Caenorhabditis elegans: one gene and its partners. The protein of the gene in region 2 purifies or fractionates together with the protein of the main gene of each other region. This does not show direct contact. Each region holds a gene or a part of one and is shown on either strand. Other genes may lie near its edges. The genes, in order: rpl-11.1, hcp-3, cct-7 and fkb-2.

Region 1 (6,927 bases), on a different chromosome or scaffold from region 2:
TCGCTTACTTTTTTTATTTTTCATTAAAAAATATATTATTTCAGGGAAAATCGAAATGGATCGACACTCAAGTTGTGTTTGCCATGCCATACGACACACCAGTCCCCGGATACAAGAACAACATCGTCAACACGCTTCGTTTGTGGTCCGCCAAAGCCGAAAATCATTTCCACCTCAAGTTCTTCAACGACGGAGACTACGTGCAGGCTGTGATGGATCGTAACTTGTCCGAGAACATCACTCGTGTCCTCTACCCGAATGACAACGTATGTTTGAGCTAGATTTTGGCAGAAAAAAAAAATCAATTTCCCCACATTTTCAGATGTTCCTCGGAAAGGAGCTCCGTCTCAAGCAGCAATACTTCCTCGTCGCCGCCACCCTCCAGGACATCATCCGCCGCTTCAAGTCCTCCATCTACGGAAACCGCGAGGCCGTCCGTGTCAACTTCGAGACCTTCCCGGATAAGGTGGCCATCCAGCTCAACGACACTCATCCATCGATCGGAATTCCCGAGTTGATCCGTCTCCTCATCGACGTCGAGGGACTCACCTGGGATCAGGCCTGGGACATTTGCATCAAGACCTACGCCTACACCAATCACACCTTGCTCCCAGAGGCCCTCGAGCGCTGGCCAGTGTCGCTTATGCAGAATTTGTTGCCGCGTCATTTGGAGATCATCTACGAGATCAATCAGAAGTTCATGAACACCATCTCGCAGAGATTCCCAGGAGATTTCGACCGTATGCGTCGTATGTCGATTGTCGAGGAGGCCGATCAGTTCGGCGAGAAGCGCATCAATATGGCTCATTTGTGCATTGTGGCTTCTCATGCCATTAATGGAGTCGCGGCTCTTCACTCGGATCTTCTCAAGAGCTCCACGTAAGCGAAAATGCTCTGAAACCTGGCGCTAGAACCAATGGGCGACGCATCATTTTGCAGCTCCGCCGCACGAATTTATTTTGGCTGTTTTTCGCATGATGTTTTGAAAGATTTCGATATGTGAACTCGATAAAATCACGAAAAATTGATAATTTGTCATTGAAAATTCGGACAGAAAGAGAAAAAACATCGTGCGGCGGTGTTGCTAAATCGCGCGCCGCAAATTGCAATCCCGGCCCGCCCAATTTTTCTTACGCGCAAATTGCAAAATTACCATTTTAAAAAATTAATATCATCCATTTCCAGCTTCCGTGACTTCTATGAGTTCTACCCGGATCGCTTCCAAAACAAGACGAACGGAATCACACCACGCCGCTGGCTTCTTCTCTCCAACCCATCTCTCGCCGACCTCATCGTCGAGAAGATCGGCGAGTCGTGGATCACCAATCTCGACGAGCTTCAGAAGCTCAAGGAGTACGCCAACGATGCCGGGTTCCTCGATTCGATTCGTCGTGTGAAGCTCGAGAACAAGCAACAAGTCGCCCAGTATTTGAGCGACGAGTACAATGTCAACGTGAACGCCGCTTCGTTGTTCGATGTGCATGTGAAGAGAATCCACGAGTACAAGAGACAGCTTCTCAATATTCTCCACGTCATTGCTCTCTACAATCGTATCAAGGAGAACCCGAACATCGATATGGTTAAGCGTACCGTGTTGTACGGAGGAAAAGCTGCTCCAGGATACCATATGGCTAAGCAGATCATTCGTTTGATCACCGCCGTCGCCGAACAAGTCAACAATGATGCCATCGTTGGTGATCGTTTGAAGGTCATCTTCCTCGAGAACTACCGTGTCTCGATGGCTGAAAAGATCATTCCAGCTTCTGATCTCTCTGAACAGATCTCGACCGCCGGAACCGAGGCTTCAGGAACCGGAAACATGAAGTTCATGTTGAACGGAGCTCTCACAATCGGAACTCTCGACGGAGCCAACGTTGAGATGGCCGAGGAGATGGGCGACGAGAACATCTTCATCTTCGGAATGAACGTCGAGGAGGTTGAGGCGCTCACAAAGCGCGGATACTCTTCGCAGGAGTTCATCGACAAGAGCCCAATGCTCAAGCAGATCATCGAGCAAATCGAAGGTGGCATGTTCACTCCAGAAGATCCAGATCAGCTCAAGGATCTCTCCAACATGCTCCGCTATCATGATCGTTTCATGGTGTGCGCCGATTTCGACGCTTTCATTGAAGCCCAGGATAAGGTAAAACTCAAAAAATTCAACTAATTCAAATTTTTACTGATCAAAATAAATTATTTTCAGGTCTCCGCTACATTCCGCGACCAAGAGAAGTGGTCTCGCATGGCCCTCTACAACATCGCCTCGACCGGAAAGTTCTCAACAGATCGCACAATCACCGAATACGCTCGTGAAATCTGGGGAATCGACCAGTTCGAGAGCTCTCTTCCAGCACCATATGAGAATGAGAAGAGCGAATAATTCTTCTATGCACTAACATTGTAATTAATTATCGCCATAACTTCCCCTCCTCTCCGTCCCATTTAGTTTATAGCATTTTTATAGAAGCCTTTCCCTCCCCCGATAATTCTTGTGAATCTTCAAGATCAAATTGATTTTGTCCTCTCTGCCCCCAGTCCAATAATCGTACTTCCCCCGAATGTGTTGCCATACTTTGAGATTGTCTATTTGCACGTCTGCCCTGCATATTTATGATAAATTGACTGAAAATATCAACTTTTTTTTTTTAATTTTGACTCGAATCTGCAAATGCTGAAATTTAATTAAAAATTATGGCTGTCTGAAGGATCTTCAAAGAAGTTTCGATACCTCTACGACCAGCTCGTTAGCAAAATACCAAACTCCTTTTCGATGAGTTTTCAAAATTCCTGGATAAATATCCTGAACTTTCTACATCAGAAGACCATTCGCAACGTAAAATTATTGATTCCAGGAAGTTGAAGTTCAGATCCACGACAATCAGACTATGATTCACAACTTTAACAAAACATTAGCAATTTCATTTTTAATAACAACAGTTTATTCAGAAAATAGAAAAACTTAACGACGACGGAAGAAGTTCTTCTTGACCTTTGGCTTTGGTGGCAGAATGATTCCATCGTACTTTTGCTGGAACCATTTGATTGTCTCCTCCTTATCGACACGGTGGGATGGTCCAATGCGTCCTGGTGCACGTCTGCGCTTGGAAACTCGAACTCCGTTGCGGTTCAGAACGACGTAGAAGTCCATTCCGTAGATTCCAATTCCTGGGTCGTACTTGATTCCGAGATCAATGTGCTCCTGGAAACAAAATAATCATCACTTTTGAACACTTCAACTTTAAGCTAACCTGAACTCCGAAACCGAAGTTTCCAGTGTCAGAGAAGTTCTCTTTGAAAAGCTCGTATTCCTTGACCTTGAGTCCCTTCTCGAGGATTTCCTCAGCCTTTGGTCCACGAACGGTGCAATGAACAGCAATCTTTTCGTTTCTGCGAATTCCGAAAGTTCTGACGGTGTATCGGGCCTTGGAGAACACTGGGGTTTGTCCGGTGAGCTGCTCGAGCACCTGAAAATATTTCGAAAATTTACGAATTACTGTAGAATATATTGGAATACCTTAGCGGCACGGGTGAGACGATCTCCAGACTCTCCAACACAAATGTTGAGACAGAGCTTTTGGATCTTGAGCTCGCGCATCACATTGCGGCCCTTCTTCTCGCGAATTTCCGTCTGTTTTTCGACGTCCGTCATGATTACCTGAAAAAAAGCATAAATACATAAAATTTGAAAACTGTGACAAGCGAGAACAAGTAGAGAGAAACGCATAGACACAAGTTCAAAAATGCCGATAAAAAATTAGCATCTTGAGATCCTAGAAAGATATTCAAATTTTAGGCCTAAAACAACGAAAATGGGAGGAGCGACGCGCACACACACACACACACACCGGCATGCGCTGAAGAGACGGCAGAGAAAACGGGCAAGCGATAGAACAGCACAAACGGGTGACAGAGACGGCGAAACAACGACAAACCACTCTCATTTTGTGAGGAAAACTCGAAAAATCAGAAAAAAAAACCTCGAATTAAAATGATTTTCGGCCCGATTTAGGATTCGAGGGTACGGTTTTGTTTTCGTGCCGAGATATCGTGGTCCCGAAAATGGTGTGTGCCTTTAATTTTCGAATTTAATTATTTAATTCAGCTTTTTTCCGATTTTCGCTCTTTTTTTTTGAAGTTTTCCTTGAATTTTCTTGATTTTTTCTATATTTTCTTGAAATTTCTTCTTTTGAATTGAATTTCTAATTTTTTTTCAACGTTTTTTGTTACAGAATGACAGTAAATGAGGGTTGGGATTCGTTCAAAACGAACAGATGGATTAATTTCGATACTATTCCATCATCCTCCTCACAAAATCGTCCTGCACCCCGAGCTCCTGAAATTGAAGTTAATAGAAAAACGCCTGATTCACCATGTAAGCTTTGGAAAATTTGCGAATAATCTGATTAATTTTGTTTTTTGCAGCAAATCGAGCAAATCGCCCACGAACGCTTTCAGACCGGGGAAACGAGATTTTGGATAATCATGAACTCGTCAGCAGTCTCTACGCTTGGAATTGGTCAGAATTGAGAGAGAATTATCCGGAAAAGGGAATCCAGAATCCGTCGATTTATTGCTATGCGATCTCGTGTGTTCAATTATTATCGCATGTTCCGGCAATTGTAAGGATCCTTCAGGATCATCAATGCCAAGATACAGGTTTGATTTATGATTTTTCTATGAAATATTCTCGCAATTATGCTAATTTTCAGCTTGTCTCTGCTGCAACTGGAAGAAAAACTTCCTTCAAAGCCATGGCCATGCTGGAACTATCAATTGGTTCCGTGAAGCATTCAAAAAAGATCGAAAATTCAATCAAGGCCGCCAGGAAGACGCTCATGATGCTCTCCTGGCGATTCTGGGGAAGCTCGATAAGATATCGGTGCAGAGCAATCCTCGTCTGAAAGGCCGCAAAGTGGCCGATGATTTGTTCGGATATTCCATAAGAAATGAAGGTTTTTGAAGCACTTTATTGATTTTTTTTTTAAAGAAAATAATTTTAATTTCCAGTTCAATGCCCCGGGTGCAAGAACAAGCACGTCTACTATGAGCACAACACCGTTATGACGGTTCGGATGCTTAGAAAGGATCCATCAGGCAAAAGCCACTCCATTAAAGAACTCATGCAGGCTCTGTTCACGGAATCCAAGATATTCGGCTATAATTGCTCAAAGTACTGGATTTTCGAACTCATTTTCCAATCAAAATTCCCCAATTTTCAGGTGCAAAAAGAAATCCGACGCGCCAGTGAAGCCCACACTTCTCCGAGCTCCACAGATCCTGCTAATGCACATTTCTCGCTTCTCGTTTGATGGTTGGGGGAAGAAAATCTCTCGGCCTGTCACCTTAAATGTTAGTTTTTAAAGAAAACGGCACAGGAAAAAAGGGCGGAGTCGCGAGCGCAATCCGCGGCGCGCGATTTCGCAACTCCGCCGCACAGTTTTATCCGAATGGTTTTTCACCTATTTTTCCGCACTTTTAAGTGTTTAAAGTCATTTAATTGAATAGAAATTAATAATTTGTGCTTAAAAATTCGGAAAAATGGGTAAAAATAGTTAAATTAAGCAACAAAAAAAAAATTCAATTTTGATTTCAGGAAACTCTCGATGTGACGAGTATGGCCACCGCCGGCGCATCCACCGTCTATAAGCTGTGCGGAGCTGTGATCCATGGTGGGACTACGCTGGACTACGGCCACTATTGGTGTGTGGCTCGATCGAGAAAACGAGAGGAGCAGTTCGTGACGTTGAATGATTCATCGGTAAGGTTCCGTGTGGCAATGTGACCTTCTAGTTCTCCTGTTTCAAACAAGTGAGAGAGAGAACATTGATTCCACAATGCGATTATGCAAAAAGATACATCACGCCGGAGAGATTCGAAGAAATATGAAACTCCATTTAAAAAAAAGGGCCGAACCGGGGATTGAACGCGGGACCTCTCGCACCCAAAGCGAGAATCATACCACTAGACCATTCGGCCACTGATAAATATTCAGCGGGAAGCCAGAGACGTAAAGCATGCTTGCTTCAAATGACTAATAAAGAATCATTTCTTACCATTTCTACGTCCTTCGCTTCCCGATGGATACTTATCCGTGGCCGAATGGTCTAGTGGTATGATTCTCGCTTTGGGTGCGAGAGGTCCCGGGTTCAATCCCCGGTTCGGCCCATTCCTTTTTTGTTGTTTTTTTCCTTTTTGGAATGCCCAGTTAACTATTAATAAATCTACTATTCAGGTCTCCCAACACACGAATCCACGAGATGCTCTTCAATCCTACATTGTGCTCTACAGGCGGCGCGAACACCTGGCCAACGTTGGCAATGAAAAGTCGATGATTTAGTTCAAATAATTGCAATTATTTAGTTCCTCCCCCCACTCATAGCTGTACCCTATTTTTTTTTTAAATTTTTACCTTGAAATCGTGTAGCGTCGTTCCGTGATACATTTTGTTTGCCCCCCTTCCCCACCCGTTTAGTACTGTACTATCGTTTAGCAGTATTTTTCATTGTTGTTCAATCCCGTTTTACATGTTTTTTTCTCTCTTTTTATTAATTCTGGCGTACCTTTTCATTTTTGAATTGCCGATTAGAAAATCATCAAATTTTGTTTAATTGCTATTTATTTATTCAAAAACACCACAATTAGCAATCACAATATTGGCCTTTGTCCTGCCCTGCTGCGGCCCATTTCCTTCCAGAATTCCCAGATTCTCAATAGCATCCAGAACATCGAATCCCTCGACGAGCTCGCCGAACGCCACGTGGAATCGGTTCATCCACGGAGTTTCGCGAAACGTCACGTAGAATCGTGACGAGTTTGTGTTCTCCCAGCCATAGTTATCCATTCCTAGGATTCCTCTGAAGAATAGGGATTTACCTGGAAATCTGGGGGCAAAAAAAACTCACTTTTTGTCGTGAAGAATCTCGAAAT
Region 2 (7,623 bases):
TGAGAAATTCTAAGAAAAAAACTATTTTCGAAATAAAGGAAGTTTTCAGTATTTATCGTAATTTCCCAAGATTTTGACATGCCTTCTTAAAGGAGCACGGATTTATTCAGATGGGTCTCGGTGCGCAAAAAGTAATGGTTGTATTTTTTTTTCGCGCCGAGGCCCATCTGAATAAATCTGTGCACTTTCAAGAATGCATGTCGAAATTTTTTGAAATTATACAGTTTCTTTTTGATTTTGAAACTATTTTTAAATATGTAAAAAACATTTCACCTGTAGATACATTAACATCAAGACGTGGATAGCATCGTTGAAGAACAAAGTAGAGAAGATAATTTCGGTCGCGACCTTGCATTTTCTGAAAATTGATTTATCTATTTTCCGACTGTTATCTCAAAGCTTCCACTTACAAAATCGAGAAGACCGTCCTTCGGAGAAAGCGATTTGCGATAGTCGTCATCAAAAAGCCCACGAATCATGTTCCAGCGTTCTTGTGGAGTTTTGTAAGTCTCGGAAAGGCTACGCAAGTCATCTCTGCCTACTTCTGACATAAACTTGTACTCTGTGATAAAATCTTCCTTATCCAGCCATCCCTGGTCATAGATCATCTTCTCGAAAACTCCATCTTTCAATGCAACGTTAAACGCGTCACGCACAATCGGCGGAACTTTCGTCATTTTGGCCCGACCTTCAGTCACCTCACATTGGCCATTTTTCTGTAAAATGAATTTTTTATTCTAATTTGGACAAAGAAGTTCTCGAACCTTGAACAAATTGAGTCTGGTCGCGATTGCAGATCTTTGATAATTGTTCAACATCCTCGCTTTTTTGTCACCGACCCAACAATGTACTCCACGTCTACCAGAGAAGACCCACATTCGTGCTTTGAAATCGAACATATCTTCCAGTTGGAAATCCAAGATTTTAACAGCGAGAACCATGAATTTCCAGCATTTTGGGCAGACGGTGGCATCTCTGAAAAATTAGAAAATCGAAAAGTGGGTTACAGATCATCTTAATAATGCCCTCAAATAACTATCTTTGCTAAATATATCAATATAAAAATAGAGATACGCGGAAACGGGATTTTCGTAAACTCTTACTTGCAACAATTACGAACTGGATCGTAGTCGGTCAAATCGATATCAAAAACCAATTCTCGTTCCACAGCTTGATAATCTGTATGTCTCTTGTTATTAATTGGCTCGTGATTGTAGACAGCTCCAATATCAAGTTTTTCCGGGTTAGTACTTGAAAGTGCTTTGAAAAATGCGTGTTCGTCATTGTAACTACGATATCTGATATGAACGTCATCTGCCAGAATGAATGCGAATTCTCGGCGGTTGAAATAGTCTCCGTTATCTGCAAATTTCAAATTTCGTTAAGAAAATCGAAATTCGAAACTCACTTTGTCCGTAGCGGAGCCATTTTGTGAATGGTTTGACTGGGAAGAAGTTTTTGTAGTATATTGGCAAATCTTGTGGAAGTCTGATGGAGTTATAAGACATTTCTGAAAAGAAAAAAAACTATAAATATTTGGTTCAATTGAAATTCAAGCTAAAAAAAGATGAAATCCTCAAGAAATAGGCACATATGTAGTGCGGTAAACTGGTTTAAATTCCAATTTCGCGGCGTGTACAACAGGGCGCGTTTGCATTATTTTATTTTTCTCTAAAAGACCATTTTCTCTCCATTTCTATACTCATTTTCAGTGTACAAATGAATTCAATAAAACATTCTACGGAAATTCCATCGACCAGTAAGCTGTCAGATAAGCAAATAATTAATTAATATAAAATAATTGCAGGTACCCAATCACTAGTATTCGAATTCACGAATTTGGACGATTTGTACGGATTTTTGAATATTCTCCAGTGTCGTGAAGAATATTCGTTTGCTCAAATACGTGCCTTCTATAATATTCCCGTCGATAAGGTAACTAATTTATCTTCTATTGCCAGAAGTTATTATATTTAAGCTTCAGAAACTTCTTGTCAACATCCAAGTGAAAAATCCGGCACAAAATCTCGATTATGCTTGGGAAAGACGTTTGAAACACCATTTCCGATACATGCTTGATCTCGAAAAGCTCATGTGGAACTTGTCTACTCTAGGTGGCGCTTATTCAGCTATGGGAGATTTCGATGCAAATTATGTAAGTTATCAGTTTACACTTTAGTTTAACGCTAGCTTTTCAGGCGAAAGTCGCTGCAAAAATTACTGCTCATCAAATCAACTTAGCGAAAAAATATGGAGATCCAGTTATTCTTGCACGATGCTACCTGTATACCGCCCTCGCAGAAGCACAACTCGGAAATCTCTCGCATGCTGTTAATATTGTTAGGTTGGATTCTTGAAAGTAGAAAAGGCTTATTTACGTGGTCAATTTCAGAGCAATTTATCACTGGGCCAAACAGAATCCGAACACGGATATTGTACAAAGATGCTGCGAAGGAGTCTATCAGAAGCTTCGAGCTATTCATATTTTCGGAAAAGCTAGTTCGAACAAGTGATTAAATAAAATGTTCTCATTTACAAGTAATGAATCTTTATTATTTGACAAATAGTAAACGTGTTCACGGTACACAAAAGATCAAACAGCGCTAAAATTGATGAGATAAATATGGCTTGAAGATCGAAAAATGAGTATTGCAAATATTGTTATCAGAGATGTCGAAGGCAGAGACGTCTGTATAACTGAATATCCGTTGTCATGAGTGTGACACGTTTCGCATGGGTGGATATAAGAGACGATCCTTCGAACATTTCGACCAAAAATGCTTCCGCCGCTTCTTGAAGAGCACTGATGGCGTCAGAACGAATACGGCAGTCGGCGCCAAATGGAGTGGAAGTCTGCATAATTTCGCGGACGAGGCGTGCGAACGGAGCCTGAAATTTGGAATTGTTTTAATATAGTTTAAATAAAGTAAAAATTGTATACCTTTTGAATCAGAAGGTCTTCAGTTTTTTGGTACTTGCGGATCTCTTCCAATGCCTTCTGGCCCGGTCTATAACGTCTCGTTTTGGTGACTCTGTTCCTTCCGGCTCTCATCCGCACGCGATCGGAGCTCGATGGGCCAGTTCTATTACCACGATCGGGGTTCGATGGGCCAGCTCTATTTCCATCGCCATTTGTTCCATCCATAGAATAGTTTTCTTCGTCGGAGCTATCGTGTCGACGGTATGAGGGCATATGATGACGGCCGTGGGAGTAATCGACAAGATTCGTGGAATTTCTGCCGACCTGAAATAAATTTTATGTTGTTTGAAATCATACAAAATTGAAACTAACCGTGAAATCCATAGACGAAGCTCTTCTCCGAGCTTGCTCTTTTCGCGCGTGATATTCGTCTTCGGCTTGCTTCAACTTCAAGACATATTGATTCCGTTTGCCTGTGACCAATCGAATTTTGTGGATGTGCGCTTCAGTGTAGTCGTTGGCTGCATCATCCTCAAGCTCCTTCTTATACTGGTTCAGAATGTCGATCAAATCGTTGACACCTGCGGCGCTTGTGTTGAATCCCGGCACTGAAGTGACTCTGAAACAGCAGACATTAATTTGTAGCACGAAAACAAAAATCATCACTTACCTTTGCATGTCATGTTTGAGACGTTGCATGATCCTTGTGACGCTCTCATTTTGCTCGGCGATTTCCTCAATAATTGGGGTGTCATCGGCCATTGTTCGAAGATTATCCTGATAAAATATAAAATTTAGAAAACTGAAGCTAAATTAAGACGATTTGTTTGAAGGTTAAAAAGGAATTAAAGAAGCAATAAATGCGAACGCAGTTTAAATAAGTAACGATTGGCGGCGAGAGACGCAGGGAAATACGCAGACGACATCACGCTAAAGTGCACACAAAACAACATAAATGACGGACTCAACCCCGGGGGTCGCCTAATTAATCAATATTTGGGTCTTATAAAAATTTAGTTCAGCTGATTGAACAATTGTGTTGTTTTTTTCGAAAAAAAAACGATTCTTCATAAATATTCCATCAAAACTTCACGAAACTTGGACTGCCTTGGGCTGTGTCTCGCATACAGCGATAATATATAATATGAGATTAGCTGTATAATTTTTTATCGAGATAACTTTGGAAAGTGCAGTGAAAAAACAAATATTCGCCGGAGAAGACAATGATTCGGTGTTTTTCACGACACTCTGGAGCTTTAACACACAAAAATGTAAAAATAGTCTGATACAAAAAGGAAAAAAAAAGAAAAAAAATCAAAATAATTCCTAATTTTAGGTGACAATAATCTGAGAGTCACCATCAACAGACAAAAGAAAATTCTAGAAAAGAAAAACCAAATTTTCGCGCTTCCGCGCGCTTTGAAAAACTAAAATGTGCAAGTAACACGAGAGATGCGCCAGCAACTTCCGCTTGCGCGGAAGGCGATTATTCAAGCAGGTCTAGAAATAATAATTAGAGCTAATATTCTCTTATAATCGAAGAACGCTTAAAACTTCGCTGCAAAAAAATTATAATAAATTTATATTTGGACCTGGTAATCCAGTGTTCGATAAGCCGAGTCTACTGCAATGACATAGCACAAGTTTTCAATTCGAATCACGTGGTCTCATGAGACGTCTCATAACTGATCTATAGTTTTAAATAGGATTTTTTATATATGATATTAAAAAAATTCAAAAAATTTTTCGGCCGGAAAAGTGTGCCTGCTAACCGAGTGACAATGGTTGGAAACTACGTCTCAATTACCGCTTTTTTCCATGTTTTTTCCCATCAAAACAGCGAAAAATCGAAAAATGAAACACTTGATCCTGACACCAAGTGATTCAGGAAAGGCTCGTAACTAGCAAACCTATTTTATTTCGATGAGCTTTCCGAAGCTTGTTGAAAACATATAAGCCAACTTTTATAATTTTAAAATACCAAAAAAGTCTAAAATGCCAAAAAATTCGGCTAATCGCTCTGTTTGAATTTGAATTCCCTCCAAAACAAGAACTGCAATACCAATTAGCAAATTGCTCCGCACACTTTTCCACCAATCAGACAAAAAGGGCGGAGTCCGGAAACGCTGATTGGTTTCTTTCTTTATTTTTTATTTCTTTTCAAATACCATTATCCCGATAGAACGATAGACATGACATGTTTTGCAAAGTTAATACTAAACTTGTTTCCAAAAAAAAGTGTACGTGTTCCGTGTTGATTCATTTTCCTTTCCAATTCTGTGTCTTTAGAATTTTCAAAACACCAACACACACACACACACGGAAACCTCTTCAATATCACTTTTGCAGTATTGTCTCTCTCTTTTCTACATTCTGCCCAAAAAAAGATTGAACACATGAAGAAATATTCGCGACGACGAATGGGGTGACAAACTGTGTAAGAATACTATCACAATGATGCGTAAAATGCTTTCGTGACGTCTGTCACTAAACAATTGAATTTTATGAGCGCGTCGAGATGTTCTCAGTGAAAGGAAACATTTTTAGGTGTACATAATTGGCACAGAAATCATAAGGAAAAAAATCGAAAAAAAAACCAAAACTGCAGCTGAATGAATTTGAATTCTTGAATTTCAAAACCTACGGAGTCGGTCAATATTCTATTCGTTCACGGTTTTACAGTGATTTGCTTGAGCTGTTCGAATAACTCAAAAGATATGTTAGCAAAATATTTTCAACTGACCAGATGTTGCAAATTACTTTTTCTACATTTTTATTTATGTCAAAATTATTATATAACTCTATTTCGGATCAAGTTACAGCAGCTGAGGTCCTCCTCAGACTTTCATAATTCATGTTTCATGCTTCGTATACTTTTTCCTGATCAATTTTTTACACAACAATAAATTGCAAAATGTAGGCATTTTTATGGAAAACATTTTCATATTAAACTTTGTTCCATGAAAACACCCAGTTTCAAAGTTGTGGTCTATTTAGAAATTCGATTCAAGAACTTGCCCGCCGGATGTCAGCAGCTTCAACTATTTTCAAAATAGAGTTTTATAAATTTGACATTAATATATATGTAGACCAGATAATTTGGAACATTTAGGTAGTTTAATGTATATTGCTAGCTATTATACATAGTTATTGAGTTATAAGTGTTTGAACAACTCAAGCACACCAGGCAATTAATTCATGGTGCATCACAAAAACGGCCATTCATAAGGCGCAAATTGCAAAAATTTTCGAGTCGCGGTGTATGCATCGTGCTTCCACAAAGCCAATACTGTGTAGTTCCTGATGGACATCTTGCAAATTATCTATGATCTAGTGACCAATATTCCCATCTGTTTGATTCGAACATCCTTCACCAATCCTCTTCCACATCCTGGCGCCAACTCAACCTCGAAGATCATCCGACCAAAAACACATGTCGATGGCATCCCGACCCCGTCGGTGCCCATCCACGTGCCCATCGTTTCTCTCGTTTCCTCCTCTCCGAAAGCCTGATGATCGTCGAACGAGTGCGTCAGAGACGCAGAGATATGTTCGGCGCTTCGCCTCCTTTTTTGCGACGAGAGCTACAGAGAAACGAAGAAATAGGAAAAGTATAGAGAAATTGTGAGATATAGAGAGATAGTGAACATGAGAGAGTAAGCAATAGAGAGAGAGAAGGAGGCGCCCGCTCCCTCAACCCCTAAGACCATTGAGGCGCTGCTGCTGGCCTTTAACATTTATGTGAGTGTGTGTGTGTGAGTGTGGTGTGTTTCTCGTCAGCTCCTTCTTCTCTTTTCCATCTCTTTTTTTTCCAATTTCTCCCTTTCTCATCTCAACCCCATGTTGCCTGTGTTGCTGCAGCAAACCGATCAGTCCACCACCACCACCGCTGTCTTCGTCGTCGTCGCCGCCGCGAAAAACTTTTTTCTCCCAAATGATTCGGAGCGTCGTCCCCCCCCAGCCCAGTCAGCCAGTCAGTCAGCCTGTGTATATGTCTATTTGTCTCGCAGTCTCTCTTCGCGCCCGGCTCCCCCATCTCTCGTCCCGCCGACGAACGTATTTCGATCGTCTCGTTTTTTCGGTTGTGTACCCCAATATCTAAATCTAGTCGCGATTGAACACCTGACCTATTCTGTCAAATCACACACACCCTTGCGTCTGTGACGACATTTATTTGCAACATGTTTCATATTGAATTCCATATGGTAAGAGTTCCATTTTTTTGATCAACAAGTTTCCTCTTGTTTGGAAAAATCTATGAAAAAGTTAATAATATTAATATAGTACCCATTATTACGAGTATTCAGGTGAACCCTCTTTCCATTTGACCTCCAAAAATTGCGGGAGTAGAAAACAGTAAGTCCCCACAATTTTAGAGGGGGTCTACCTCTATGATCTTACTGTACTCGACCATCATATCGTTCTTCCTAGATTTCTGATTTTCTGCCTCAAGTTTGTTATGATTCCATATGTTGTTATGTTTCTTTTTATCTTTTAGCTTTCTTTGTCTTCCCCCCGATAAATTATTTTATCTCTTATCTCACTCACTGTCTGGCTCGCGCCTACCGTATCATCGGAAACGAGCGTTTACGTTTGCCCCTTCGCTAGACAAGGTCTCGAAACGAAACGAGACGCGAACTGCAAACTTTTCTCCGTCTGTTTCTCCGTTGCGTCCAAATCTTCTTAAATCACTCTCTCCCTCT
Region 3 (9,494 bases), on a different chromosome or scaffold from region 2:
TCTTTCTCCGATTCACTCAGTTTTTTCCCATTTCGAAGCGAACCGTTAATATGCGAATGCCCATTTACTACAGGGGACTCGATTTTCTCAGGAGTTGCAGGAGATGTAACTGCCGCCACATTTGATTTCCTGGCTTTCCGTTCTCGAGCCATTTTCTGGAAACTGCAAAAAAATATTGGAAAATTCGATTTTAAGGCCATTTTACGCACAATAATCGCAAAAAAGATACATTTCACGGTAAAAAAGCTTTAAAAACTAATAAGAACAATAAAAAATCAATAAAATACGCCTGAAAACCATGAAAAACTCTTCAAAAACGCCTGGAAATAAGGAAAATAAAGATTAAAAATTTTGCACCGCAAACGCGCAAGCGACGAGAAATGCGTCAGTGACGGGGTTGGCGCGGCAAATTAACCCCGCGAATTTTGAACGTGACCCCTTCATTCGGTGGATTTTGGGCCCAAAATTTGCGATTTTCTCTTATTTCCATTTCATTTGCGGCAGTTTTTTCCGGAAAATACACGAAACTGGCTTATTTCAACATGAAAATCCAACTTTTTTAAGCGAAAATTGTCTAAAATTGAAATAAAAATGCAGAAAACGGGTTTGTCTATCTGAAAATAATGTTTTACGGCATTTTTCGGCAAACTGCAAGCTTTTTAACAAAAATGAGTTTTATTTTCAAATAGAAAAACCCGTTTTCTATCAATTTTAGATCAAAAAAGTTGGATTTTCATATTAAAATAAGCCATTTCTTTGTTTTCAACGTTATTTTCTCATTTTTAATCACTAATTCATTTCAGAATGTCTCAAAAATCAAACGACACCACATTCTCGGTCAGAGCCGCGCTCTTCGCATCACCCGTCGGCTCATCATCAGCAGTTCCAAAGAAGAAAGTGGCTCGAGAGGTGCCACGTGCAGGGCCGCCAGTTTTTGCCCTCGAGCACGATGTTTCGGAAGTCACCGACAGAAATAAAGACGGCACCTTTCTGGCTGCAGACGCGTGCGCTAGTGGCCCTACTTTGAAGGTTCCAGACGAAACACAAGGTTGCCCAGAAACTTTCAGTGTTTCGGAACACGAAGATGACGACGACGTTGAGCCGATGGAAGTTGATGGAACCATCGTTCCGTCGCCCCAGCGAGCAACGCCGACACGTGGCGTAACTCCTTGCGAAAAATCGACGACTCCACGCAGAAGATCCTCGAGAAAGTCGATGCCAACGCCTGGGAAGCGTCTGTTCTTCACCAGCAAAGACACTACGAACGAGGATCGCAAGGCTGATGACTCGACGCAACTGGAGCTTCTGATGGCAAAGATTCCGCAGGAGATGTCGGGTTACATGAAAAAGTTGGCCACCGACATCAAAGAGGTAGTATTATCGATTTTTAACTTTACATTTAAATCTAAAATTTTCATTTTCAGATGAGCCAATACGATGCACAGCTGGCGCGGAATATCGACGACATGGAAGCGGTTTTCAAATCCCGCGAAACTAAGCTCAAGTCAGCTATTGAAATCGCCAAGGACAGCTTCATCTCGTCCGCTCTGCCTCTTCGCCTCGAGACCCTGGACATGACTCTGCGTAAAGAAGAATCGCCAAATGATATCGTTGCGAGACTTCACGGAAGTTTTCTCGACAAAACCCAGGATGCCGGAAACGTGAATACTGCACAAAAGGAGAACCAGCAGCTGGAGGATGAGCGCGGGATGCTGGTGAGAGTTTCAAATTATTTAAATATGATTTTTAAAAATAAAAATACAATATTATATTTCCAGGAAGAAAAGCTGGAGAGTCTCAACAAGATCAAGAGAGAGAAGGATGAATTTCTGGCGAAAATGCGAAAAGAGGAAGAGGAAGCGCTCGCTCGCCGGGAGGAAATCAAGCAGGGCTTCGAGCGAATCGATGCTCTAATGAGCAAAATCAAGCCGATTCCAATTTTTGAATTCTGATTTCTGATTTCTCACGCTCTGTATAATATTCTATTTCTGACACAATTGATTTCATAAATACATGTATAATATTTTATTCATAGCCTAGGTCTTGCTTATTAAGTGTCAATTTCATTACGTGTACTTTAATTATTGGTTTTGAGTATCTGAAGTTGAGATCCTAGCTGCTTTGGTCCTTTATAAATATATGTTTCTTTAATTTGAGTTGCTATCGCTATCGAAGGTCGTCCTCTTCCTCCTCATTTGCATGTTTTTCTAGCTTCTTCCCCATTAGTTTCCCGCTGACTCCACCGTCGACGAGGTTCTCGAAAACCACGTCGCCATTGTTTCGAAAACAGGAAAATGGCATTTCGCGAAGTGTTGTGAGACCACACTGGAATTTTATTAGTTTTTGAAGCTTTTAGATCGAAAATTCATCGAGGCACCACGGATTCAAGTGCCAACGCAAAGAAACGGGCCAGATCCGATATCCCACCGGTTCTAGATTTCGTGGTGCCTCAATTGGTCTTGCCACGTGGTCAAAGGTCTCGCCACGCTTCCGATGTGGTGTGTGTGCCTTTAAACACGGGTACTGTATTTTTTATAGGTTTTCTGACTTTTCGCTCTATTTTTTTCGTAAAAAGCGGAAATTTTATTGAATAAGAAACTACTATCCTTGCTGAAAATATTCTGAGAAGCCACAGCAGTTGCAACGGTTGCCACGTACTCGCAATCTTCCTTCACAGCATTTTCCAGACTCTTCTCGACGAGCTGTCTTCCGATTCCCTTCCTAAATTGAGCACAATTCCCTAGGAGAACAAGAAAAAAAAAGAAGAAAATTGCTTCCTACCCTTGACAAGCCTTCGACACGCACAGCACATCGATTTTGAAGACTTTTTTCGGATTTCCAGTCAAAAACGACAAGTCTTGCTCCAAAACCTGCACGAATGCCACCAACTTGTTGGCATTTTCGTGTTTGTACTGGCCATTTGTGATTTCTGCGTTAAAATCCCAGTGTGGATTGAATGGGGTCGATTCGGAAACAAAAGAGCATTCTTTGACGGCATTCAGGCAAACTGCCACGATTTCCTGAACACTTTTTTTTCTAGAATTTGCGGGAAGCTAGATTAAATCTGAAAAACAAAAAACAAAAACCTACTTCCCCATCAAAAACCAGAATTGAACTTTTCTCATCTTCCAACCCGCTCATCGTCAAATCAACGAAAAACTCGGCGACATCTTCTTCCGAGCAGCTCAATGAAGTTGTGATGGGCTCCATTACTCTAAAATGCTCCACCAGGAACTTGTGAACTTGGTCCTTGTGCTCCAGGAGCCCAGTTTGGAATGTGAGCTCCGGCATTTGCAGAAAAAAGCGAATAAAAATAAAATAAAAGAAAGCAAAAGTGAAAGACTATTCCTCGAGAGCTCTGTGAGCCCTCACTTTTTCTCTGAACCTCCGAGACAACACGCGTTACATTTGCATTTTCACCACACATATTTCCCATGCTTCCAAGTATTGACATTTTCCTTTTCCTGCTTTTCTACTTCTCCCCTTCCTCACCGAAGTGTCTACTCGACGATTATGGAGCTTCTGAGAGCTCTGCTTTGCAATATTCTCAATGGAGCGCATTTGTGGCTGGTGGCCGTGGCCGCGAGCCGCGACGCAAGCACGCGCCGCTCCTGGGAATTGTTTCGAGAAGGAATATTTTCGTCGGACTATTTCTCGATTTTCATCTGGATCTTTGTGAATTTTCCAGATTTTCTTCATTAATATAATACTTCTAGACTTTCTACACATTTTAACATCAAAATCTTCGAATTTTGTCTTCTCTGCCCTCGTTTTAATCGCTCTTAATATTTCAAAATATTATACTCGTGCTTTAAAAATTAATAATTCAAATTCAGAGCAAGATGATGCGCCCACCAATTATCCTGCTCAAGGACGGAACTGAGAACAAGCAGGGAAAGGGTCAGATCATTTCCAACATCAACGCTTGTCAAGTTAGCTTCTAAAATTCTAAAATTTAGTCAAAAATGCCTAAAATGCTGTATTTTTCAGGTTGTCGCCGACAGTATCCGTACCACCTTGGGTCCACGTGGCCTCGACAAGCTCATCGTCGATAGCAAGGGAGCCACGACGATCTCCAACGATGGAGCCACAATTCTGAAGCTTTTGGATATTGTCTTCCCGGCCGCCTCCACAATGGTTGATATCGCTCGTTCTCAAGACGCTGAAGTCGGAGACGGAACCACGTCTGTCGTCGTTTTGGCCGCCGAAATTCTGAAGCAAATGAAGCCATTCATCGAGGACGGTGTCCATCCACAACTTCTCATTCGCGCCATCGGAAAAGCTTGCGAGAAGACGCTGAAGAACTTGGCTGATTTGGAAATCAAAATTAATGGCGAGACGGAGCTCCGTGAGATGCTTGTGAAGTGTGCTGCAACCACGTTGAGCAGCAAGCTCGTCAGTCAAGAACGGCTTTTCTTCGCCAATATGATTGTCGATGCTGTGAACACGTTGGATGCTCATCTTCCATTGAACATGATCGGAATCAAGAAGGTCAACGGAGGAAATTTGCACGTTAGTGAATCGAAAAGTCGTCTATCACGCGGTGTTTTGTCTTTCCACTGAAAATTGCAGATTTTTCAGCTTAAAAATGTTTTTCTCTGCATTTTACTAACAAAGCAGCTTTTTTAAACAGTGAAAATCGAATTTAAAATGACTAAAATGAACTTTTTTCGTCCACTGGTTGAGGAATGGTTAGAAATTGAAAAAATCAACGGGATTTTTCTTATTTTTTAAATATTTTTCCATTAAAAATCGATTTTAAACCATTTTGACCCTAATGTTAAGTCACAAATGGTTTAAAACCGATTTTTAATAGGACAATATTTAGAAAATATGAAAAATCCCGTTGATTTTTTTTTCAATTTAAAATCATTCCTCAACCATTGGACGAAAAATGTTCATTCTAGTCATTTTAAACTCGATTTTCACTGTTTACCAAAAGCTTTGTTAGTAAAATGCAGGAAAAACATTTGTTAAGCTGAAAAATCCGCATATTTTCAGTGGAAAGGCGAAATACCTCTATTTTAATTAATTAATATTTATTTTTAATTTAATTTTAAAAATTTCAGGAATCCCGTCTCATCAAAGGAGTTGCCTTCCAAAAAGCGTTCAGTTATGCTGGCTTCGAAATGCAGCCAAAGAAGTACTCCAATGTCAAAGTGGCTCTTCTTAACATTGAGCTGGAGCTCAAGGCAGAGAAAGAGAACGCTGAGATGCGTCTGACCAACGTTTCCGACTTCCAAGCTGTCGTTGACGCTGAGTGGAATATTCTTTACGATAAGCTTCAGAAGATTCACGATTCCGGCGCCAACGTGGTTCTCTCGAAACTTCCAATCGGAGATGTTGCTACCCAATGGTTCGCCGATCGTGACATGTTCTGTGCTGGACGAATTCCACAGGACGATCTTGATCGCTTGATGTCCGCATGCGGAGGAAGCGTTCTCACCACAGTCTCTCAAATCGACGACTCTGTCCTCGGAAAGTGCGGAAAATTCTACGAGCAACAAGTCGGAAGCGAGCGTTACAACTTCTTCGAGGACTGCTCAAAAGCTCAGGCATGTACGCTTCTTCTTCGCGGTGGAGCCGAGCAGTTCATCGCCGAGACCGAACGATCTCTTCACGACGCTATCATGATTGTTCGTCGTGCCAAGAAGAACGATTCGATCGTCGCCGGAGGAGGTGCCATCGAGATGGAGTTGAGCCGATTGATTCGTGAGCATTCGAAGGGTATTGAGGGCAAGGATCAAGCTTTCTGGATGGCTTATGGACAGGCTTTCGAGGTAGATATTGAAGAAACTGGTGCTAGTATAAATATGCAGAAATGAACGATTTTCGTGATGAGACAGTTCAAAATCTCGAAAAACTGGATTTTTTTGCTAAAATCTTTAATTTCTCCAACTTTTCCGTTTTCCAGTTGCTGGAAATTAAATTTTATTCGATTATCGATCTTTATTGCAGGTTTTTATCGTTTTTCTTCAGTTTTTTGTTGGCTTAGGCAGCCCTCAAGCTGTAAGGCTGCCTATTGACTCTAAATTTGCCTTAAACGAAGAAAAAACGACCAGAATATGCAATTTAATCGCATAAAAGTAAATTTTCAGCCGTTTTGATACGGAAAAGTTGGCAAAATATATGATTTTTGCGAAAACTGACCTTTTTTCAAGATTTTAAACAATTTCTGTTAACTTTCAGACCTATTTTGAGCTTAACTTAAAATGTGCCGAAATGAAGGAATTTTGAAAGTTCAAAATCTTGAAAACCTGGCTATTTTTAGTCAAAACCCCGAAAATTGCAGGTTTTCGTCGTTTTTCTCCCGTTTTTTAGGTTAGTTAAGGCAGATTTCAAGCTGTAAGTAATAAACCAACTAAAACATAACATTTTTTAAAGAAAAAATTCTTTGTATTTTTGAGTCGAAGAAACCAAAAAATCCATTTTTTTCACCAAAAACACCCAAAAAAAAAGCTAATTTCCGAAATTTTTCAGATCATCCCACGCCAGCTTTGCCAAAACGCCGGACTCGATGCTCTCGACGTGCTGAACAAGCTGAGACATCGTCATGCTCAAGGCGAGAAATGGGCCGGAATCGACATCCATCGTGAAGCCGTCGGAGATAATCTTGTCGCATGTGTCTGGGAGCCGAGCATCGTGAAGAGGAACGCCATCACAGCTGCCACCGAAGCCGCGTGCCTCGTTCTTTCGATCGATCAAACGGTGAAGAATGTTCGTACACCATCTGGAGGAGCAATGCCAGGACTTCCCGGGCAATAAGGAGATCAATGTGCCCCTCTGTGCATTCGCTGCTTTCTTTTGCTGTATTCAAATATTCAAATTTTGCGCAATTTTTTTTTAATTTTCTTCATAATTTTTGTTTGTTTTCTATCATTTTCATTAAACCTTTTGTTATGATCCCCCGTCTCTCTCTCTCTCTCAAACGTTCTCATCATAGCTTCTTGCAAAAAACTTTAAATTTTTTCTCAATTTTTCTTTTTCCCACCGATTTATTGTCCACCACCCGCTTGTTTTCTCTACCGCTCCCCGTCGTTTTCGTTTTGAATTTTCTGTTTGAATAAGTGCACTTTGAAAAAATTTTAATTTCAGTATTTCAAAAAAAAAGAACCATTAGAAAGAAGGTCAAACCTTACCGGAAAAAGCAGAAAAAGCGGAGAAGTTAGGTGATGGGGGTGGATACCGGCTTCAAAGTTGGGGGGTGGTGGGTGGGGATTAAGATGCATATAAAATGTCGCAAAAACACCTACTTTTACATATAAATCGGGGAGAAAAGTGAAATTTCTTGAATTTTGAGGAGTCACCACGGATTCAAGATCTATGAGAACGAGATCTCTGAAAATCGAGGCAACAATGCTCCGATTATACGCATCGCGCGCGTTGTTTAGCGTGTTGAGAATTTTTTTTTTGTCCTTTTTTTTGAAAGAAAAATTTCTGGAAAACGATAAACAACGCGCACGACAAGCGTAATATCGGAGCATCGTAAAAATGGTAGATCACAGAATCCCACAGGATCTTGACACCGTGGTGCCTCGAAAAAAGATTAAAGGAACATATAAGTGTGGGTGGCAGTGAGGGATATCGGGGGGTAATTGGTGGAGCTTTTGAGCATTACAAAATTATGAAAAAATTACGAAACAAAAAGTGGTGACAGGATGTCCCACAACGGTGGTTTGATCAACAAAAAAATGCGGGAACTTTTTTCACAGAAATTAATATTTCCTAAATTCCCGCGATTTTCGGAGATCAAAACGACATGGGACATTCTGAAACCCGAGATGAAAGAAATTAGACGCTATTCTTCAACGGCACTTGATCGTTGTGAAGAGCTCGCTCACGATCCGCCACGTTATACTGATCAGCCTTGTACTTGGCACATCGCTGGCACGTGAAGATGACGAGGAAGAGCAGGAGCAGGATGATGAGAATGATCGCAAGTGGCAGCATCCATCCGTAGGAATCTGAAAAATTGATTTTTAGGAAAAAAAAACATTTTTTTTGTGAAAAACAAGAAAAGAAAATCGAGAAATTGTCAATTTTTCAAAAAAAAAAAAATTTTTTTCTAAAATTGTTTAGCTGAAAAAAAAGTTTTTTCCAATATTTTTGCAATTTAAAATTTTTTCAAATGAAAATCGGGAAATTGTCGATTTTCAACAAAAATTTATTTAATTTTTAGGTTTTTTGAAAAAAGTTTCGAATGAATTTTTTTTGCAATTAAAAAAATTAAATTTTTCTTTAATTAAAAAACAAGAAACAAATTGAGAAATTGACAATTTTCAAAAAAATACTTTTTTTCAAATTTTTTAACTGAAATAACGAAAAATTGTTGGCTTTTCAAAATTATTTTTACTTTTTTTTTGAATTTAAATTTTTTTTTCAAATGAAAAACCATAAATCATCAATTTTCCGAAATAAAATTATTTTTTTAAAGGGTATCTGCAAATTGTGCGAAAGTTGGTTTTTGGAGGAACAGTTTTCTTATTTTCGGATTTTTTTTCAGAGTTAGTCGAAAAATCGAAAAACCAGAAAAAAAAACAGAGTATAATTTTCTTCTATCTATAAATAAGAAAACGGGACCAAAAATTGAAGCTATTGTTGAAAAAAAAATTTTTTTTTTTTCTAAAATTTTTATAGCGCCAGTGGAGAAATTGCTTTAAAACACGCCTATGGTACCACAATGGCCAAATATCACGATAAAAAAATTCAAAAAATTTTTCTAAATTTTATAAGGTTTTTTTGAAAATTGGAAAAATCTTAGTTTTCCCCCTAATTCCTATTTGAATTAACGCCAATTGGATTTGTTCGATGGAGCGCGCTTGCACGTTTTTAAATTTATTTATTTTATTTTTTGTTAATTTCCACCGATTTTCAATGTTTTTGGTGTATTTTTGCTTGAATTTTAGAGAAAAAGTCAAAATAATTGCAAATTTTCGATTAAAAAGCACGCCTGCAGGCGTAAATCTATGAAATTAATTAATTCAGGTTTGAAATCGTTTAAAAACGTTACTTTTTTTCATTTTTACGCCTGTAAGCGTGCTTTTTAATCGAAAATTTGCATTTATTTTGACTTTTTCTCTAAAATTCAAGCAAAAATACAACGAAAACATTAAAAATTGGTGGAAAATAACAATAAATAAAATAAATAAATTTAAAAACGTGCAAGCGCGCTCCACCAAACGAATCCAATTGGCGGAAATTCAAAAAAAATTAGGTGAAATTGTGATTTTTCCATTTTTCAAAAAATCATATAAAATCTAGAAATTTTTTTTGAATATTTTAACTATTATATTCGGTCATTGTGACCTCATAGGCGTGTTTTAAAGCAATTTCCCCACTGACCGTAGTCCACCTTTAAATTTAAATTTTTTCTCGAATAATTTTTTCACGGGGTTCTGGCCTTTCTCATTGAATTTTCGCGCTCCATTGGCAATCGCCTGCCGGACAACGCGTGGAAAAGTGTAGTGTACTCCACATGGACTACACAAAATCTC
Region 4 (6,675 bases), on a different chromosome or scaffold from region 2:
AAATTCCGAAAGATGAAAATTGCTACGAAAACTAGAGGACATCTTTGACCACCCGGAACACTCCATCTAATTGGCTGGGCAAATGGAGAAGCAGTGAATGACAGTGAGGAAAAGCAATAGAGAGAAGAAGAGAAAGAGAATGTTTGCATGCCATCTGGTGCTCTCCTTCTTCCCCTTTTCAACCCGAACAACGAGCTTGTGCTCCTGCTCCTGCCTGCTTGCTCCGCTGGTCAGTTATTCACCCATAAAGGACGAAAAGAGAGACAGAGACCGCCCATCAAATTGAATGTGTGTGTACTACTAAAAGAGGGTGAAATAACCCGCCTCAATCCATACTAATGTCAAATGCAGTTGCAATTTATATTGAACACACAGACCCAGAGACACAACCAAAGCCAATGATGAATCATTTTGAAGAGAACACAGCGAAGACGACGGAGGAGAAAGAGAACCAAAAGGCGATAGAAGACGAGTTGCGAAACAATTCAATTTGAACAAAGCTTTCTAGCTTTGAAAATTGCGAAATTGAGCGCTGAAAATGGATCTTAATGCCGAGAATGACCAGTGGATTGCGAAATTGGAATGGTGAGTCACATGGAACAGCAGGTCGCCAAAAATCGTCGAGGAAGCTTCAAGTTGTTATAATATTCGCAGTTTTTTCTGCCAAGGAGATCTGAAAGTCATTTAGAAGAAAAAAAATACATCAAAATGCTCAAAAATCATAAAAATATTCGAAATTTTGATGATCGAAGCCCCAAAAAAGTCACGAAATAGTCAAAAGAGCCGCGAAAAACAGAAATTTCGTAGCATTGGCCGGATTTTTCTATAAATATTGCAGAAAACCCGAAGATTTTGTCAGTAAATCGAACGAATAAACTCCAGAAAGCGGAAAATGGGGAAAATGGGGAAAATTTTACATTTTTCTACAAAACACTCACTGTGAGCTGAAATTTCATCAAAAAAAATAGGAAAATTGAGAGTTTTCTAGTCGAAATCTTACGCTATGTGATAATTTTTATAGCTTTTTTATTTTTCTCGATTCACGACGTTATCGGATGCCGAAAATTGATAAAAAACTCTTTCTGAATCACCTATTTCCGCTCCTTCCTTACAGTTTTAAAGCAAGAATGGAACGAACTGAACTTTCCGGAAGAAAATAGGGTGGAAATCAGGAAAATTAGCGAATATTTGCTAGAGAATGAGGAAAATATATTCTGGCAATAACCGAGACAAAACGCGGAAAAAACTGCTGGAAATATCAATTTTGGGAGAAAACGCGAGAATTTTGTGAAAAACCTGCGGAAAATCGGTAAAAACGTCACAAAACCGGCCAAAAAAGTGGAAAAATGAAGAAATTGTCATCCTCTTCGACCAGTTCTCGAAAAACACGACGAAAATTGGCGGGCAGATCAAAAAATTGAGGTCAAAAATCTTTTTTCGCGATCAGAAAATTTTGCGCGTCAAATGGAATGCATCGTACGCAACTCTGCGTACTTAGGCGACTACCGTACTCTTAGCTAAATTCTGCTCAATTTTCGCTGGCTTTTGCCAATTTCTAGTGGAAAAACGTCGGAAAAACTGAAAAATCAATTTTGGAGACAAAAAAGAGGAGATTTTTCAAGAAAAGATGTGTAAAAATGGCGAATTTCAATGATTTTTAAACCATCCCACTGGGCGGAGGAATCTGAAATGATAAAAATAACTATGAATCATCGAAGGGGAGGCGTCTTCCGCCTCTCGTCTTGTGTATTTCTAATGAACAGGAGGCCTGAATTGTTTCGAAAATGGAGAACAGATGGTCTTCTGAGAAAGACGGGCGCTACGCAAGGATCGCCCGCGCACACAATTACGAATGAATTGTGAGGCAAAAAAGTGAAAAAGAAAAGAATAAAAGAGTAAAATTGGCAAGGTAATCGGAGATTTCGACTTCAAGGACACACAAACGCCACGTCAACACGCACAGAGAAAAACCATTTTGTTTTTAAAGATTAAATAATTTATGCTACTTAGATAGGAAGAAATATTTAGTTTACAGAGAAAATTAAGGGGGGAAAAAGAAAGAAAACTTGGAATCATTAAAAAAAATTGATATCATTTATGGAGAGGTTGCACACGGCAGCTGCTAAAACGGAGCTGCAAACGGAGACGGGCAGCTTAGTTGACTCCGAGAAGCTCGACCTCGAAGACGAGAGTTGCGTTGGCTGGGATTTGTGGTGGAACTCCGCGTGGTCCATAGCCAAGATCGGCAGAGATGGTGAGCTTCGACTTCTCACCAACTGACATCTGAAAGAAAAGTTGATTTTTTATATTGAAATTGAGCTAATCGATGGACAAACCTGGGCGACTCCTTGGTCCCATCCCTTGATGACCTCTCCCTTTCCAATCTTGAACTTGAATGGAGTTCCGCGGTCGCGAGAAGAGTCGATCTTCTTTCCGTTCTCAAGGGTGAGCACGTAGTGGCAGGTGACGGTCTGACCGTTCTTTGGCTTGGTGACGTTGTCGCCCTCGACGAGAATCTGTCTGTCGACGCCCATTCTTGCTAAAAGAGGAAATATTAAGATTTATAACTCAGAAATAAAGAGAAAATGGCAAAGAAAAGGAAGAAATTGTTCAAGGGCGAGTTCAAGTTGTTTTTAGGCCAAAATAACAATTATTTTTCAAAAATCGATAATTCTGCCTCGAAAATAAGGTTGCTTTTCTGATTTTCAGTTGATTTACTGATTTTCTTGATAGAAAACTCCAGAAGAATGGCCTAAAACAGGAAAAAACCGGCAAAGTAAACAAAAATCTGATGACCAGAGTTTTAGCCGATTTTAGGCCAAAATAACACTGAATTTTCGAAGAACAACTATTTGTCATTGAAAAGTGGGCGTCTGACATGATTTTTTCGATAAGAAACTCTGAAAAATGACCAAAAATCGGTGAAAAACAAGCAAAAATGGGTTGTTTACGAGGCGAGAGTAAAATCGAACAAGGCGCGACACTGTTCGTGGCGAGATATCGCTGCCGCGAAATTGCATGCGCCTTTAAGGTAAGTGTCTGCGTCTCTTCAGAGAAATTTGTTCTTTCTCGGAAATCGTTGAAAATGAGTTCTCTCGATAGAAATAAATAAAAAAACAAGGAAATTAATAAAATTTCAAAGCATTTTAATTAAAAATTGAAATTTATGGCAATCGTGTCAACAACAAGTGAACAAAAATTAATACCATAGTTTTGATTTTAAACATTTTTCTCCTGGCTACGGTAGTTCATAAAGTACGCAGCATGTATCCAATTCGTTTTATTTTACGCTGGGATTCCTGCTGGCAATTTGCCTTTTTCAAAGCCAAAAGCCGGAGCAATCGTGAGCTTCGACTTCTCTTTGACTGACATCTGAAAGAAAATTGAATTTTTATATTGAAATTGAGCTAATCGATGTACAAACCTGGGCGACTCCTTGGTCCCATCCCTTGATGACCTCTCCCTTTCCAATCTTGAACTTGAATGGAGTTTCGCGGTCGCGAGAAGAGTCGATCTTCGTTCCGTCCACAAGGATGAGCACGTAGTGGCAGGTGACGGTCTGACCGTTCTTTGACTTGGTGACGTTGTCGCCCTGGACGAGAATCTGTCTATCGACGCCAATTTTTGCTGAAAAAGAGGGAATATTAAGATTTATAACTCAAAAATAAGGAGAAATCTACCATATGAGTCCCATGAGCAATTGAACAGCCTAACTTTGCAAGTTAGGGAAGCGTTTCGAGGAATCAGTCCTCTGAACCCAGCGCGGCCGTAACCATATTTGCCACTCACGTGAAATGTTGCGATTTCACCGACTTTCATCTGAAAGAACATTGAATTTTTATTTATAAAAATTGAGTTCTGCAAAAAATCAATAAAAATGTACATACCTTAGGGATTCCGATATCTAAACCAGGAATGACTTCACCGAATCCAATTTTAAAGATAATCGGATTTTGGCTCTCGTAATTGGACCAAGATGTGTAGCAATCCGCAAGCTTAATTTCGATGTAGCACTGAACAAGTTGCCCATTCTCTGGCATTACACCATTTCCAGCTTTGTCAACTTGATGATGAATTCCAGTTTTACCTAAAAATAAATAGAAGATTTCTGATTGAAAAATAAGAAAAGTTTTTGTAATTTATATATCTTCTACACTCCAAATAACAAAAAACTGCGTGGCGTGTACTGCAGAAAACCTAATATTTAGTTAGGCCCCGCATTTTTCTCGTCCACTCACGGAGAAAAGGCAAAAATCGGGATTCCAACCAATATCAGGCCGCCGACATCTCACGGAGACAACTTGCCACGCCCACAGCGAGTTAAACGCAGCGGCGCGCGGTACCCGTGAGATGTCGGCGGCCTGATATTGGTTGGGTTCCGATTTTTGCCTTTTCTCCGTGAGTGGACGAGAAAAAGGCGGGGCCTAAATATTATGTTTTCTGCAGTACGTGCCACGCAGTTTTTCATTTTGAGTGTACATTTCACACAAAATGCGAATTACCTGGTTTTTCGTGCTCACATGAAGATTTTTTGTGGACTACGTGATCCCTCAAGTGTTTTTTCATTCCTTCGTGATTGAATGTTCTCATCCTGCATAGAAGACATCCGAATTCCAGTTCACGAAATGGGATCCGTTTGTATTCGTACTCATTGTACGTCGACACAATGAATTGTCCGACGTCTGGGTTACTCCAAGAAGGTAAAACAGAGTCATCAGTGCTTGCTACTCCATTTTGGTCCTTCATTGTTCTACATCTGATGTTGCTTGATATTGTTTGAAGCTGTTCTCCTTCTTATTATTTCGCGATGTTATCGGATACTAAAATTTATGTTTTTTCAACTTGATTCGAATCAACCACTCCATTGCAGTTAAGGAGCAAAGCGAATCATTTCAGAGAAATGAGAAAACTTGAATTTTTTTTCGTGATTCAGAAAAAGAGCAGATTCTTGGTTACAAATTTCCTCTCTGACAATTTTCAAGAAAAATTGAAAAAAAATGCTGAAAATTCTGGGTTTTGTGGAAAGTGAGGATTTTTATGAGAAACTTGAGGAAAATCTCAAAAATGCCAGATTAAACAGCAGCTGATGAATGGTCAAAAATCGTCGAGGAAACATAAAGTTTCTCTAACTTTTGGAATCGGCGAAAGATACATTTTCACATTTGGAGCAGGGGTGGACGGCTAACTGTTTTTTTCGGCTAACGGCAAATTCGGTTTAAGCCGTGTTTCGAAATTTTAGACTAACGGCTAATTCGGCTAATCGAGAAAAGCGGCTAACGGCTAAAATTGCTGCCGTTTGCATCTCCTCGTAAGGCTTACACTATTTTTTTAAAATATTGTTTTAACTTTGCATATAAATTGATAATTGGAACCATGTGTTAAGCGGATTTCTCAAAGCAAAGAGTCACGGGGAAAGACGACAATTTTTCTTACAGTTTCATCGATGCGGAAAAATCTGTTGAAGCTTAAAAAATGAAACGCTGATAACACATCGAACTCCTACAAGAAGTTGTATTTCCATTGTTCCTTAAAAGCTCTAGCTACGGCCTGAGCCATTATCAAAACATGTACTTAAAATTGTCTTTCAACCTCACGTGATAATTTTTCTAGTCATTCAGTCACAGTCGAAAATTGATAAAAACTATCTCTGAATCAATTATTCATTATCTCATTTCTTGAGGCTATGGTCGAACTGAACTTCTCTGAAGGAATTCATGAATATCGGAATGTTTCCAGCAAATGAAACCCTATTTATATCGAAAAGGTAAAATTGAGGTCACAGATTCTCTATTCAGACAATTATCGAAAGAAAACGCGGATAAATTGTTTATACTTTCAGAGTTTTGGCGAACATTTCGTGAGCGACATGAAGAAAATAGTAAAATCACGACAAACAATGAAGGCATCAAAAATTCGTTTAAAAAAAGAAAACATACATTATCATATTTTTTATTTAAAAAAGTTGCTAAAAATAGCCGACCTTTAAAGATAATGCGAGAAGTTTGTGAAAAATTGCTGAAAATATTAGAAATAGGACAGAAATCGCAACTTCTATCAGAAATTCGGCTAATAAAGACAGACTTCAAATTAATGCGCCCGAAAGGCTCGAAAAGCAAACGCGCTCTGTTGAACACCTTCTGCGAGCGCATTCAAATTTAGTTTTTTCTTTCTTCCAATTTTTTTTATACGGAAAGTGATAGTTTCACACTGTATTTGCAAATTTTAAAGACAATTTTTAACAAGAAAATTTTTTTAATTTTTTAAAAATAAATTCTCAAAAAAATTCCGGTTTTTTTTCAAATTATAAAAACACTGATAAGACTCCAAAATATCATAAGGGTCCCCCCTTATGAACTGAATCTTCAGCTCCAAAGGATCACAAGGGTCCCACTCATGAACTGAATCTTCAGCTCCAAAGGATCACAAGGGTCCTCTTTTATGATCTGAATCTTCAGCTCTAAAATTTTCCCTCTTATGTTTGAAAAAATATTGAAAAAAAAAATTGTTTTGGAATTTTTTCAAAAAGTGTTTAACTTTATAGAAAACACAATTTTGGTAGTTCTTACAAGTTTGGGCATTCATATTGCATTTTTAGCTAAACAATTAACCAAATTAGAGTTGACTGAGCGTATAGACGTCTTACTTTCTAAGACTTATAACTCTGTTGGTGTTTGA

What was found.
Region 1: the proteins of hcp-3 (region 2) and rpl-11.1 purify together in Caenorhabditis elegans (affinity purification with mass spectrometry, with the first as the bait; one large-scale study listed by BioGRID). This does not show direct contact.
Region 3: the proteins of hcp-3 (region 2) and cct-7 purify together in Caenorhabditis elegans (affinity purification with mass spectrometry, with the first as the bait; one large-scale study listed by BioGRID). This does not show direct contact.
Region 4: the proteins of hcp-3 (region 2) and fkb-2 purify together in Caenorhabditis elegans (affinity purification with mass spectrometry, with the first as the bait; one large-scale study listed by BioGRID). This does not show direct contact.

What each region holds. Positions count from the first base shown.
Region 1 is NC_003283.11:3,582,410-3,589,336, forward strand, and holds rpl-11.1 (Large ribosomal subunit protein uL5A), read right to left. Parts: upstream 3,656-6,927; 5' UTR 3,650-3,655; coding exon 3,515-3,649; intron 3,465-3,514; coding exon 3,249-3,464; intron 3,200-3,248; coding exon 2,960-3,199; 3' UTR 2,924-2,959; downstream 1-2,923. Other genes in the region: pygl-1 (Alpha-1,4 glucan phosphorylase), read left to right, coding at 45-266, 323-879, 1,186-2,143, 2,204-2,380; T22F3.2 (Ubiquitin carboxyl-terminal hydrolase 36), read left to right, coding at 4,231-4,372, 4,423-4,656, 4,710-4,952, 5,008-5,170, 5,220-5,349, 5,594-5,758, 6,233-6,337; T22F3.12 (Peptidyl-prolyl cis-trans isomerase), read right to left, coding at 6,620-6,854, 6,903-6,927. UniProt on the Caenorhabditis elegans protein: Component of the ribosome, a large ribonucleoprotein complex responsible for the synthesis of proteins in the cell.
Region 2 is NC_003281.10:9,612,772-9,620,394, forward strand, and holds hcp-3 (Histone H3-like centromeric protein hcp-3), read right to left. Parts: upstream 3,700-7,623; 5' UTR 3,683-3,699; coding exon 3,591-3,682; intron 3,540-3,590; coding exon 3,293-3,539; intron 3,245-3,292; coding exon 2,942-3,244; intron 2,890-2,941; coding exon 2,665-2,889; 3' UTR 2,535-2,664; downstream 1-2,534. Other genes in the region: pri-1 (DNA primase small subunit), read right to left, coding at 274-358, 411-716, 765-975, 1,104-1,362, 1,409-1,508; F58A4.6 (DUF4807 domain-containing protein), read left to right, coding at 1,720-1,759, 1,808-1,935, 1,985-2,155, 2,199-2,344, 2,393-2,513. UniProt on the Caenorhabditis elegans protein: Histone H3-like variant which exclusively replaces conventional H3 in the nucleosome core of centromeric chromatin at the inner plate of the kinetochore.
Region 3 is NC_003283.11:1,868,410-1,877,903, forward strand, and holds cct-7 (T-complex protein 1 subunit eta), read left to right. Parts: upstream 1-3,836; 5' UTR 3,837-3,842; coding exon 3,843-3,932; intron 3,933-3,990; coding exon 3,991-4,512; intron 4,513-5,069; coding exon 5,070-5,780; coding exon of another isoform or gene 5,781-5,825; exon of another isoform or gene 5,826-6,094; intron 6,095-6,480; coding exon 6,481-6,765; 3' UTR 6,766-7,096; downstream 7,097-9,494. Other genes in the region: T10B5.3 (Small-subunit processome Utp12 domain-containing protein), read right to left, coding at 1-152; knl-3 (Kinetochore NuLl), read left to right, coding at 805-1,371, 1,425-1,715, 1,779-1,952; T10B5.4 (aralkylamine N-acetyltransferase), read right to left, coding at 2,167-2,325, 2,607-2,721, 2,782-3,020, 3,091-3,291; zig-11 (Ig-like domain-containing protein), read right to left, coding at 7,792-7,964.
Region 4 is NC_003279.8:12,914,586-12,921,260, reverse strand, and holds fkb-2 (peptidylprolyl isomerase), read right to left. Parts: upstream 2,540-6,675; 5' UTR 2,535-2,539; coding exon 2,337-2,534; intron 2,284-2,336; coding exon 2,155-2,283; 3' UTR 1,981-2,154; downstream 1-1,980. Other genes in the region: fkb-8 (peptidylprolyl isomerase), read right to left, coding at 3,286-3,372, 3,425-3,627, 3,681-3,819, 3,888-4,087, 4,503-4,746.